4 linked regions of the Saccharomyces cerevisiae S288C genome follow. The protein of the gene in region 1 purifies or fractionates together with the protein of each later gene. This does not show direct contact. Each region holds a gene or a part of one and is shown in the gene's direction. Other genes may lie near its edges.

What was found.
Region 2: the proteins of TRX3 (region 1) and GLR1 fractionate together in Saccharomyces cerevisiae (co-fractionation; one large-scale study listed by BioGRID). This does not show direct contact.
Region 3: the proteins of TRX3 (region 1) and CPR3 fractionate together in Saccharomyces cerevisiae (co-fractionation; one large-scale study listed by BioGRID). This does not show direct contact.
Region 4: the proteins of TRX3 (region 1) and TIM11 fractionate together in Saccharomyces cerevisiae (co-fractionation; one large-scale study listed by BioGRID). This does not show direct contact.

The regions. Positions count from the first base shown.
Region 1 is NC_001135.5:257,538-260,461, forward strand, and holds TRX3 (Trx3p), read left to right. Parts: upstream 1-2,040; coding exon 2,041-2,424; downstream 2,425-2,924. Other genes in the region: SRB8 (Srb8p), read left to right, coding at 1-1,117; AHC2 (Ahc2p), read left to right, coding at 1,346-1,732; chromatin-silencing transcriptional regulator TUP1, read right to left, coding at 2,774-2,924.
Region 2 is NC_001148.4:373,811-377,466, forward strand, and holds GLR1 (glutathione-disulfide reductase GLR1), read left to right. Parts: upstream 1-1,691; coding exon 1,692-3,143; downstream 3,144-3,656. Other genes in the region: SSU1 (Ssu1p), read left to right, coding at 1-1,359; 40S ribosomal protein eS6 RPS6A, read right to left, coding at 3,481-3,656. UniProt on the Saccharomyces cerevisiae protein: Catalyzes the reduction of glutathione disulfide (GSSG) to reduced glutathione (GSH). Constitutes the major mechanism to maintain a high GSH:GSSG ratio in the cytosol.
Region 3 is NC_001145.3:108,977-112,050, forward strand, and holds CPR3 (peptidylprolyl isomerase CPR3), read left to right. Parts: upstream 1-2,025; coding exon 2,026-2,574; downstream 2,575-3,074. Other genes in the region: DUS1 (tRNA dihydrouridine synthase), read left to right, coding at 1-1,101; CFF1 (Cff1p), read left to right, coding at 1,271-1,876; TRAPP subunit BET5, read left to right, coding at 2,889-3,074. UniProt on the Saccharomyces cerevisiae protein: PPIases accelerate the folding of proteins. It catalyzes the cis-trans isomerization of proline imidic peptide bonds in oligopeptides. This isozyme is required for growth on lactate at high temperature.
Region 4 is NC_001136.10:1,111,478-1,113,993, reverse strand, and holds TIM11 (F1F0 ATP synthase subunit e), read left to right. Parts: upstream 1-1,700; coding exon 1,701-1,991; downstream 1,992-2,516. Other genes in the region: PEP7 (phosphatidylinositol-3-phosphate binding protein), read left to right, coding at 1-1,514; mitochondrial 54S ribosomal protein mL38 MRPL35, read right to left, coding at 2,302-2,516. UniProt on the Saccharomyces cerevisiae protein: Mitochondrial membrane ATP synthase (F(1)F(0) ATP synthase or Complex V) produces ATP from ADP in the presence of a proton gradient across the membrane which is generated by electron transport complexes of the respiratory chain.

The DNA.
Region 1 (2,924 bases):
AACCAACGATGATAAAAGTGACGATGATGATCACACAGTCGACGAAATTGATCATGTAGAATATTACGTTATGATGGACTTTGCCAATCTTTGGGTTTTCCAAGCGTTTACCTGTTTCTGCATCAAAAAAATCATGGAGAATAATGAGCCAGCAATGGCAATGGAAGACTTGAAGAACTTCATATTCCAAATTATCGAAATAACTAATTCTAATGATTTATGTTCACAAATATTTGACCAACTGAAGGATATGCAGACCATTGAGATGATAACCCAAATAGTGGAGAAAGATTTCTGCACTTCTTGTTTGCAAAACAACAACCAAAAGATAGATGATAATTACATCGTTGTGGTGATCGAGATTATAACGTCATTATCGATGAGGTTTCAAAGAGAAACTTCTGGTATGATAGTTATTTCCATGGAGAACTATCATTTACTAATAAAGATCATAAGACAATTAAGTGAACTGAACGAAGGAAATTTATCTAAGAGAGAAATCCAAATAGATGCCGTCTTGAAAATTTTTAGCTTTCATCAGGATTCCATTTTCCAACGCATCATCGCTGATTTATCAGCTGATAAACCCACAAGTCCATTCATTGATAGCATATGCAAGCTGTTTGATAAAATATCATTTAATTTAAGATTGAAGCTGTTCTTGTACGAAATTTTGTCTTCATTGAAATCATTCGCCATCTATTCATCCACAATTGATGCCCCAGCATTCCACACAAGCGGTAAGGTCGAACTACCGAAGAAATTGCTGAACTTACCACCATTCCAAGTGTCCTCTTTCGTTAAGGAAACAAAACTTCATAGTGGCGACTACGGGGAAGAAGAAGATGCAGACCAAGAAGAATCGTTTAGTTTAAATTTAGGAATCGGCATAGTTGAAATAGCGCACGAAAACGAACAGAAATGGCTCATTTATGACAAGAAAGATCATAAATATGTCTGCACATTTTCCATGGAGCCGTACCACTTCATCTCCAACTATAATACCAAGTACACAGATGACATGGCTACAGGCAGTAATGATACGACTGCGTTTAACGATTCCTGTGTAAACCTGAGTCTTTTTGATGCTCGGTTTGAGAGGAAAAATCCACATTGATCTCAGAATATATCCAAATGGATAAATTATAAATTTACCAATAACAGTAATTATGTGTCAGTTTTAATACCCAACCAATTGATTCCTCTAAATGATACCGTACCAAATGACATGTTTGCCACCGATTATAAAACTGGGGTTTATGAGCGATGGTTAAGGAGGATTAAGACAAAGTGCTCATCCGCTTACAAGATCAGTACTAGCGTGTACCAGTCTATTTAAACTGGAATGATCACCCCAAAGGGAACGCACGATGCTGTGGCCAAGTTTCAAAAAACTGACCTGCATCAAGATCTCGATTACATCGTACTGCAACAACGAAGAACACAGCTAGAGACGCTTATTAACGAAAGAGAATCTTTTGTCAAGAATCTGTGTTCTCTTTTCCACAAAATTCAAAATACCAAGAATTACCAGGAATTTGTTGATGTATTGGCGGAGAATAGGGATTTACTGCGAGAAATTTTCACTGTAGAGAACGGATTTCAAAAGCAAAAATGGATTAGCAACGACGACATTCCCCAGATAGACTGGGACAAGTTTGCCCTAGATATCAACGCTTATATAGCAGAGAACGATCAATTGTTGGCTTTGTATGAAGATGGCTTATTATGATCAAATAGCGGCTATGGACATTTTTAAACATATATTTATATATATATACATATATGCGTATATTGCATAAATCACAAAGAAGAACAACGCCCTAGATATAGTGACCCAAAATATTATGTTTAAGTTACTGGTTGGGGTTCATGTACATTTTTCACTATCTTTTAATTCCAAATGTGGATTGTGCTTCTGCAGATTTTGTTGCCTAGTATTCTGTGATGGAAAAAATTGCCCCGATGAGATATAAAATGAGCTAGCCCCCTAACCAAAGAAAGCAGGATTGGTTAGTACATAGAGAAACCAAAGCTGTTATGTTGTTCTATAAGCCTGTGATGAGGATGGCGGTGAGACCGCTAAAAAGCATAAGATTCCAGTCCTCATACACCAGTATTACTAAATTGACGAACCTAACAGAATTTAGGAATTTGATCAAGCAAAATGATAAACTAGTCATCGATTTTTATGCTACTTGGTGTGGCCCCTGTAAGATGATGCAACCACACTTAACGAAATTAATTCAGGCTTATCCAGATGTAAGATTTGTCAAGTGCGACGTGGACGAATCACCAGATATTGCCAAAGAGTGTGAAGTGACGGCTATGCCCACCTTTGTTCTTGGCAAGGATGGCCAACTCATCGGCAAGATCATTGGAGCTAACCCTACTGCTTTAGAGAAGGGAATCAAAGATCTATAAATTTTATATTCATGAGCACATGTAGTTTTTTTTTTTTTAGTTTTAAATATAAGAAAAAAGATAGTATATATATATATATATATACATATACATATAAAAGGAAAGTAAGCTTATACAATACACAAATAAATTCATATCAAAGAATAATGAACCGCAATATTCAGAAACACAGGAAAAGGAGGGGAAGGGATGAATGGTGAGGAAAGTAACTGTTTGTTTTAAAGCGTACCTGGATCATAACATAACAAATAAGTAGATAAAAAAGAATAGAGAGAAAGATATAATGACAATGAATTGAAGAATAGTTTAGTTAGTTACATTTGTAAAGTGTTCCTTTTGTGTTCTGTTCTTAATTTGGCGCTATTTTTTTATACTTCCAAATCCTTGCTTTACAATCACCGCTACCAGTAGCAAAAACGTTATATTCTGGACCCAGCGGAGACCCGTTTGCCACAGCCACAGATATAACTGAATTCCTATGACCTTGCAACATCAATAAC
Region 2 (3,656 bases), on another chromosome or scaffold:
CTTGCTCTTACGAGGCAGTTTGACCCCTTCATGTTTATGATGGTCATGGGTGTCGGCATTTCATCGAATATTCTATATAGCTTCCCATATCCTGCAAGGTGGCTAAGAATATGCTCCTACATCATGTTTGCTATCGCTTGCCTTATTTTCATTGCTGTGCAGGCACTACAAATATTACATTTGATTGTCTATATTAAGGAGAAAAGCTTCAGAGAATATTTTAATGACTTTTTCAGAAATATGAAGCACAATTTATTTTGGGGTACTTATCCCATGGGGTTAGTTACAATTATAAATTTCTTAGGAGCACTCTCGAAAGCGAACACGACGAAGAGCCCCACTAATGCCAGAAATTTGATGATATTTGTTTACGTCTTGTGGTGGTATGATCTCGCAGTCTGTCTAGTAATAGCGTGGGGTATCTCGTTTCTCATCTGGCATGACTATTACCCTTTGGAAGGGATTGGGAATTATCCTTCATATAATATCAAAATGGCATCCGAAAACATGAAAAGTGTATTGCTACTGGATATCATTCCGCTGGTTGTCGTCGCTTCAAGTTGTGGAACATTCACAATGTCAGAAATATTCTTCCATGCGTTTAATAGAAACATTCAACTGATAACGTTGGTCATATGTGCCTTAACGTGGCTGCATGCCATTATCTTCGTCTTCATACTGATTGCGATATACTTCTGGAGTCTTTATATTAATAAGATACCACCAATGACACAGGTTTTCACCTTATTCCTGCTTTTGGGCCCGATGGGCCAAGGAAGTTTTGGAGTCTTATTGCTTACAGATAATATAAAAAAATATGCGGGCAAATATTACCCAACAGATAACATTACAAGAGAACAAGAGATATTGACTATTGCAGTTCCATGGTGTTTCAAAATTCTAGGCATGGTTTCTGCTATGGCATTGCTCGCTATGGGCTATTTTTTCACCGTGATTTCTGTCGTTTCAATCCTGTCGTACTACAATAAAAAAGAGATTGAAAACGAGACAGGAAAAGTGAAGAGAGTTTATACCTTCCACAAAGGTTTTTGGGGGATGACTTTCCCGATGGGTACTATGTCTTTAGGAAACGAAGAGTTATATGTGCAGTATAACCAGTACGTTCCCTTATATGCATTTAGAGTCCTAGGAACCATATACGGCGGTGTTTGCGTTTGTTGGTCAATTCTATGCCTTTTATGCACATTGCATGAGTATTCTAAAAAGATGCTGCATGCTGCCCGTAAATCTTCATTATTTTCAGAGTCAGGTACGGAAAAGACGACAGTTTCTCCGTATAACAGCATTGAAAGCGTGGAAGAATCAAACTCGGCTCTAGATTTTACGCGTTTAGCATAAAATTGTTGGTTTTATACGTACATAATTGGCAAGCATTTCATGTAGGAGTCTCAATAGATAGTTTAATTCATTTGCACGGCGCTTTGCTGCTTTTGCTTCTTCACGTTGGTTTTCACTATGCCTGATATTTTTTGACGTCACTTAGTAAGCACGACCCTTGTCAATTTTTCGAGGATTTCGGAGCTTTCCATTTGGAATCTACTATTAAAATCAGTCTAAAAAAGTATAAGAAACACTTCTGGTTTTTCTCATGCGCTTCTCACTCTCAGTATATTTTGCTGCTTTCCTTCATATGTATATATATCTATTTACATATTAGTTTACAGAACTTTATGCTTTCTGCAACCAAACAAACATTTAGAAGTCTACAGATAAGAACTATGTCCACGAACACCAAGCATTACGATTACCTCGTCATCGGGGGTGGCTCAGGGGGTGTTGCTTCCGCAAGAAGAGCTGCATCTTATGGTGCGAAGACATTACTAGTTGAAGCTAAGGCTCTTGGTGGTACCTGTGTTAACGTGGGTTGTGTTCCGAAGAAAGTCATGTGGTATGCTTCTGACCTCGCTACTAGAGTATCCCATGCAAATGAATATGGATTATATCAGAATCTTCCATTAGATAAAGAGCATTTGACTTTTAATTGGCCAGAATTTAAGCAGAAAAGGGATGCTTATGTCCATAGGTTGAACGGTATATACCAGAAGAATTTAGAAAAAGAAAAAGTGGATGTTGTATTTGGATGGGCTAGATTCAATAAGGACGGTAATGTTGAAGTTCAGAAAAGGGATAATACTACTGAAGTTTACTCCGCTAACCATATTTTAGTTGCGACCGGTGGAAAGGCTATTTTCCCCGAAAACATTCCAGGTTTCGAATTAGGTACTGATTCTGATGGGTTCTTTAGATTGGAAGAACAACCTAAGAAAGTTGTTGTTGTTGGCGCTGGTTATATTGGTATTGAGCTAGCAGGTGTGTTCCATGGGCTGGGATCCGAAACGCACTTGGTAATTAGAGGTGAAACTGTCTTGAGAAAATTTGATGAATGCATCCAGAACACTATTACTGACCATTACGTAAAGGAAGGCATCAACGTTCATAAACTATCCAAAATTGTTAAGGTGGAGAAAAATGTAGAAACTGACAAACTGAAAATACATATGAATGACTCAAAGTCCATCGATGACGTTGACGAATTAATTTGGACAATTGGACGTAAATCCCATCTAGGTATGGGTTCAGAAAATGTAGGTATAAAGCTGAACTCTCATGACCAAATAATTGCTGATGAATATCAGAACACCAATGTTCCAAACATTTATTCTCTAGGTGACGTTGTTGGAAAAGTTGAATTGACACCTGTCGCTATTGCAGCGGGCAGAAAGCTGTCTAATAGACTGTTTGGTCCAGAGAAATTCCGTAATGACAAACTAGATTACGAGAACGTCCCCAGCGTAATTTTCTCACATCCTGAAGCCGGTTCCATTGGTATTTCTGAGAAGGAAGCCATTGAAAAGTACGGTAAGGAGAATATAAAGGTCTACAATTCCAAATTTACCGCCATGTACTATGCTATGTTGAGTGAGAAATCACCCACAAGATATAAAATTGTTTGTGCGGGACCAAATGAAAAGGTTGTCGGTCTGCACATTGTTGGTGATTCCTCTGCAGAAATCTTGCAAGGGTTCGGTGTTGCTATAAAGATGGGTGCCACTAAGGCTGATTTCGATAATTGTGTTGCTATTCATCCGACTAGCGCAGAAGAATTGGTTACTATGAGATGAAGCAACGAAACTAGACGTCCAATCTGCTGTTGCTATACTGGACTTTTGTACTCTTGTAAACAATCTTATATAGCATCCTGAAATACGTAGTAATTTTGTCATTTCTGTTCAAGGACAAGGGTTCCTTTTTTTTTCAGACTATTAGCTACTGTGGACTCGCTTGGATATTCAGTTGAGGATACATTCCGACTCTCGTTTACAATACATATGATTATTTTTCTTTTTGTTAATTATATAAAAAATAAAGTTATTTGATTTTAAGCTTAAAAATACACAAAATACAGAATAAGAAAGGAGTTTTTGAACAAAAGAATTTATCTTTTACTGCTTTCTAACTTTAAGCCTTCAAAGAAGAAGCTCTTCTCTTTCTGATTTCAGCCTTCTCAGCCTTTCTTTCAGACAATCTCTTAGCCAACAATTGAGCGTATTCGGCAGCAGCTTCTCTTTGAGCTTGAGCGTTTCTGACCTTCAAAGCTCTTTGGTGTCTCTTTCTTTGCAATCTTTGAGGAGTAA
Region 3 (3,074 bases), on another chromosome or scaffold:
ACTCCCATGTTACATGCAAAATTATTTGCTACCTCGAAGAAATATAGAGAAGATAATTGGTCTTCCTTAGACGGCTCTAGCGTAGATAGGCCGTTGGTTGTACAGTTCTGCGCTAATGACCCAGAGTATCTATTGGCGGCAGCTAAACTGGTGGAAGATAAATGCGATGCGGTAGATTTGAATTTGGGCTGTCCTCAAGGCATAGCTAAGAAAGGTCACTATGGGTCATTTTTGATGGAAGAATGGGACCTTATACACAATTTAATCAACACCTTGCACAAAAATTTGAAAGTTCCAGTTACAGCAAAAATACGTATATTTGACGACTGTGAAAAGAGTTTGAATTACGCCAAGATGGTGCTGGATGCTGGAGCTCAATTTTTAACCGTCCATGGGAGAGTAAGAGAGCAAAAAGGACAAAAAACTGGTTTAGCTAACTGGGAAACAATCAAATACCTAAGAGATAATTTACCTAAAGAAACCGTGTTTTTTGCTAACGGGAATATCTTATATCCTGAAGATATTTCACGTTGTATGGAACATATCGGTGCTGACGCAGTGATGAGTGCTGAGGGGAACTTATACAATCCTGGTGTTTTCAATGTAGGCCAAACTAAGAACAAGGAGAAGATATTTCCACGCGTAGATAAGATTATCAGAGAGTATTTCCAGATTGTCAAAGAATGCCAGGAATCTAAAGCCTCCAAGACAGCAATGAAATCACATTTTTTTAAGATTTTAAGGCCTTTCTTGCCGCATCATACTGATATTAGGTCAACACTTGCTACTATGAATGCAAAAGCCACGTGGGAAGAATGGGAGGAACAAGTAGTGAAGCCTGTCGAAAAAGTAGTGCAAGAAATATTTGAACAGCCAGATATCGCTATTAAGGATGAAATTACTATCGGCGAAAAGCAATCATGGGGTGGTTCATATAGAACTGTTCCATACTGGAGATGTCAACCATATTTTAGGCCTGTTAACGGTATCACAGGTGATAAAAGAGTTATGCAAGGCCTCATAGATGAAAGCGTGAACAAGAAACGTAAAGCTGACGTGCCATTAGAATCTGCTGATAAAAAGAAGGACGTGAAAGCTTAAAACCTGATAAAATCCATGTATATTTCTTTGCCTTTTCTATTCTTTTCTCTAAGTATAGTTTTTATGTATGTATATTAATTCAAACAGAAAATGTTCAACTCCGTCTCCATAAGAAAACTTCTTTCAATTTGAACACTTGTATATTCAATCAGAATTCGCCATAGAGAGCATGTCAGCCAATGTACAAGAAGCTGCAAATGCAGCTATAGAGCCGGCCAGTTTCGTTAAAGTCCCAATGCCTGAGCCACCAAGTAGTTTGCAACAATTGATCAATGATTGGCAATTAATCAAGCATAGAGAAGGTGGGTATTTTAAGGAAACAGATAGGTCTCCCTACACCATGGAAGTAGAAAAACCAGTAAATGGAGGCTCAGGTAATACTGAAATGGTAACAAGAAATCAATCTACGTTGATCTATTATCTACTAACCCCCGACAGCCCAATTGGGAAATTTCATAAGAATATTAACAGGATCATACATATCTTACAAAGAGGCAAGGGTCAATACGTTCTAGTATATCCTGATGGTCAAGTGAAGTCATTTAAAGTTGGTTTTGACTATAAGAATGGAGAAGTCTCGCAATGGGTTGTCCCCGGAGGTGTGTTTAAGGCAAGTTTCCTTCTGCCAAACGAAGAATTTGACAACGGTTTCTTGATTAGTGAAGTAGTGGTACCAGGTTTTGACTTTGAGGACCATACCTTCTTGAAGGGTGAAGATGAACTGAAACATCTTGTGGGACCTGAAAAGGCAGCTGAGTTAGCTTTTTTAGCTTGAACTTTTGTACTTAGTTATTATCAAAATAACCAATAAGAATTATTTTAGTCCTTTCGCACCGCGATTATTAATAAACTCAATATTTTTTTCCTATTTAATTCCATAAAGAAACAAAAAAAAAAGCAAGCAACTACAAAGGTCTACTTACCATGTTTAAACGTTCCATCATTCAACAGTCCCGCTTATTCTCCAATTCTGCTTCTAGACTAGGTAAAAAAGTGTTCTTTGATCCTGCGGTCAATGGAACCAAAATCGGCAGAATAGAATTTGAATTATATGATAATGTGGTTCCTAAAACTGCTGAAAATTTCAGAGCCTTATGTACCGGCGAAAAGGGCTGGGGCTATAAAGGTGTCCCTTTCCACAGAATCATCCCAGACTTCATGATCCAAGGTGGTGACACTGATTTGACTAACGGTTTTGGGGGCAAATCCATTTACGGTTCCAAGTTCGCTGACGAAAATTTTGTCAAAAAGCATGACAAGGCAGGTTTGTTATCTATGGCAAATGCTGGACCAAACACTAACGGTTCTCAATTCTTCATTACCACTGTGCCTTGTCCATGGTTGGATGGAAAACACGTTGTCTTTGGTGAGGTAACCAAAGGTATGGACATTGTCAAAGCAATCGAATCATACGGTACTGCTTCTGGTAAACCAAGAGCTGAAATCGTTATCGAAGAAGCTGGTGAGTTATGAAGGCTTATATGAAGCTAAGGTCTCTCATATTTCTAGCATATAAGGTATGCGTTATCTCTATGTCTACGAATTATATCTGTTTATAGTGTTTTATTTTATATAGACTCGCTGGCTCATAAAAAATCAACCAACTTTTATTCTGGTTTGCCTCAGTCGAAATGTTGTCCTTTACTATTGACTAGTGTTGAAGAATTTCCGGATCTTATATTTTCGACAATTGAGTTCCAACATACATTACAGAAAAAATACAAAAAAAAAATACAGAACTATCGTAAGATAATCTGCTTTTGATATAAATCATAAATCAGTGGAGCATGGGGATATATTCATTTTGGATCTTTGATAGGCATTGTAACTGTATATTTGATAGAGAATGGACATTGGCGTCCAATAGCGCAAGTGGTACAATAAACTCCAAACAGAATGAAGAAGATGCAAAACTTCTGTATGGTATGATATTTTCGTTACGCTCCATTACACAAAAGCTCTCCAAAGGGTCT
Region 4 (2,516 bases), on another chromosome or scaffold:
TAAGGAAGTTTGATAACTTACAAGCACTAAATGCACATTTAGATGTTGAGCATGGGTTTAACGATAATGAAGATTCACTCGGTTCCAATGACAGTCGTTTAGTCAATGGTAAACAAAAAAAGGCCAGATCTGTTGATAGCAGTGCGCAAAAGTTGAAAAGAAGCCATTGGGAAAAATTCAAAAAAGGGAAGAGCTGCTGTCACACATGTGGAAGGACTTTGAATAACAATATTGGCGCCATTAATTGTAGGAAATGTGGTAAACTGTATTGCAGAAGGCATCTTCCTAATATGATTAAACTTAATCTTTCCGCACAGTATGACCCCAGAAACGGGAAATGGTACAATTGCTGCCATGATTGTTTCGTCACAAAACCTGGCTATAACGATTATGGCGAAGTAATAGATTTAACACCAGAATTCTTTAAGGTACGAAATATAAAAAGAGAGGACAAAAACTTAAGGCTATTACAATTAGAAAATCGGTTTGTCCGTCTAGTTGATGGTCTGATTACACTCTATAACACATATTCTAGATCCATTATTCATAATTTGAAGATGAATAGTGAAATGTCCAAGTTAGAACGTACAGTTACTCCATGGAGAGATGATAGAAGTGTACTCTTTTGTAACATATGTTCCGAACCATTTGGGCTATTACTAAGGAAGCATCACTGCAGATTATGTGGTATGGTTGTTTGTGATGATGCAAACAGGAACTGCTCAAACGAAATAAGCATAGGTTATTTAATGTCTGCAGCGTCAGATCTGCCATTCGAATACAATATACAGAAGGATGATTTACTTCATATTCCTATATCCATAAGATTGTGCTCGCACTGTATCGATATGCTATTTATTGGCAGGAAATTTAACAAGGACGTTAGAATGCCGCTAAGTGGAATATTTGCTAAATATGATAGCATGCAAAATATATCCAAAGTAATTGATAGTCTCCTGCCCATTTTTGAAGACTCATTGAATAGCCTGAAGGTGGAGACTGCCAAGGATTCTGAAAATACACTTGATCCAAAGAATCTGAATGATCTCGCTCGATTAAGACATAAATTACTCAATTCTTTTAACTTGTATAATACACTAACAAGACAGCTCTTAAGTGTAGAACCTCAAAGTCATCTAGAGAGACAACTTCAAAATTCGATCAAGATAGCTTCCGCTGCATACATAAACGAAAAAATCCTACCGTTGAAGTCGCTTCCGGCAATTTTGAACCCAGAGGGCCATAAAACGAATGAAGATGGGCAAAAAGCTGAACCAGAGGTAAAGAAATTATCGCAACTAATGATCGAAAACTTGACCATAAAAGAAGTGAAAGAGCTGAGAGAAGAATTGATGGTCCTAAAGGAACAAAGCTACCTTATTGAGTCCACAATTCAGGACTATAAGAAGCAGCGTAGATTGGAGGAGATCGTCACACTTAATAAGAACTTAGAAGAATTGCACTCAAGAATACATACCGTTCAATCGAAGCTGGGTGACCATGGGTTTAATTAAGACATATCTTTATTATTCGATCATTCGCGGAATCTCCACGCTAATTGGTCCGCGGAGCCAATCAGATCTATTTAAGGGTATAAATTTTTCTTTAGTTTTTTTGACTTTTCACACAGAAATTTTAGATAAAAGGAAGTATTATATCGGAACATAACGTATATAGGAACTAGCTGAGTGAGTTAAAGGATGTCGACAGTTAATGTTTTGAGATACTCTGCGTTGGGTTTGGGGCTATTTTTTGGTTTTAGAAATGATATGATTTTGAAGTGTAATGCTAAGAAGAAAGAGGAGCAGGCACAGTACGAGGAGAAATTGAAGCTGGTAGAGGAGGCAAAGAAGGAATACGCCAAGCTACACCCTGTAGTAACTCCTAAAGATGTGCCTGCGAACGCCTCATTTAATTTGGAAGATCCTAATATAGATTTTGAAAGAGTTATTCTTAACGCCGTTGAATCCCTGAAGGAAGCTTCAACATAAATAGAAGCTTCAACATAAATAGGATACTAAAAATGCACATTAGCTCGCACTGAATGACGAAGTTATGATGGATTCTCGTTCGCTAGATGTTCCATATTTTTTTCTTCATTCGTTAGTGCACAAACAATAAGGAAAAAAATGAAATGTATATATTCTAGAACATACTAATATCATACGTATCGTATTGTAAACAAAATTCACATTCCAAAAATTTTTCAGATTCTTACTTTATATTATTTGCATCAAGCTTTATTAACAATGACACGTTATTTTATATGTACAGGATACTATAATGTCATACTATTTAGGATCACCTTCTAACTCTGCTAAAAACCCTTCCAGGTGGTAGGCCATATTTTTCTCTGACGGCGGCGACTTTGGCATCCCATTCGCTTCTCCAGATATGTGCCCCAATAGCGGTTAGATTGTATTTCTTCGTAAATTGCCTGATATCAAAATCATCTCTACTTAGTTCCTTTCGGTCAATCTCTAACATGTTAGGACCTTGCTTATCCTCGATTAAGG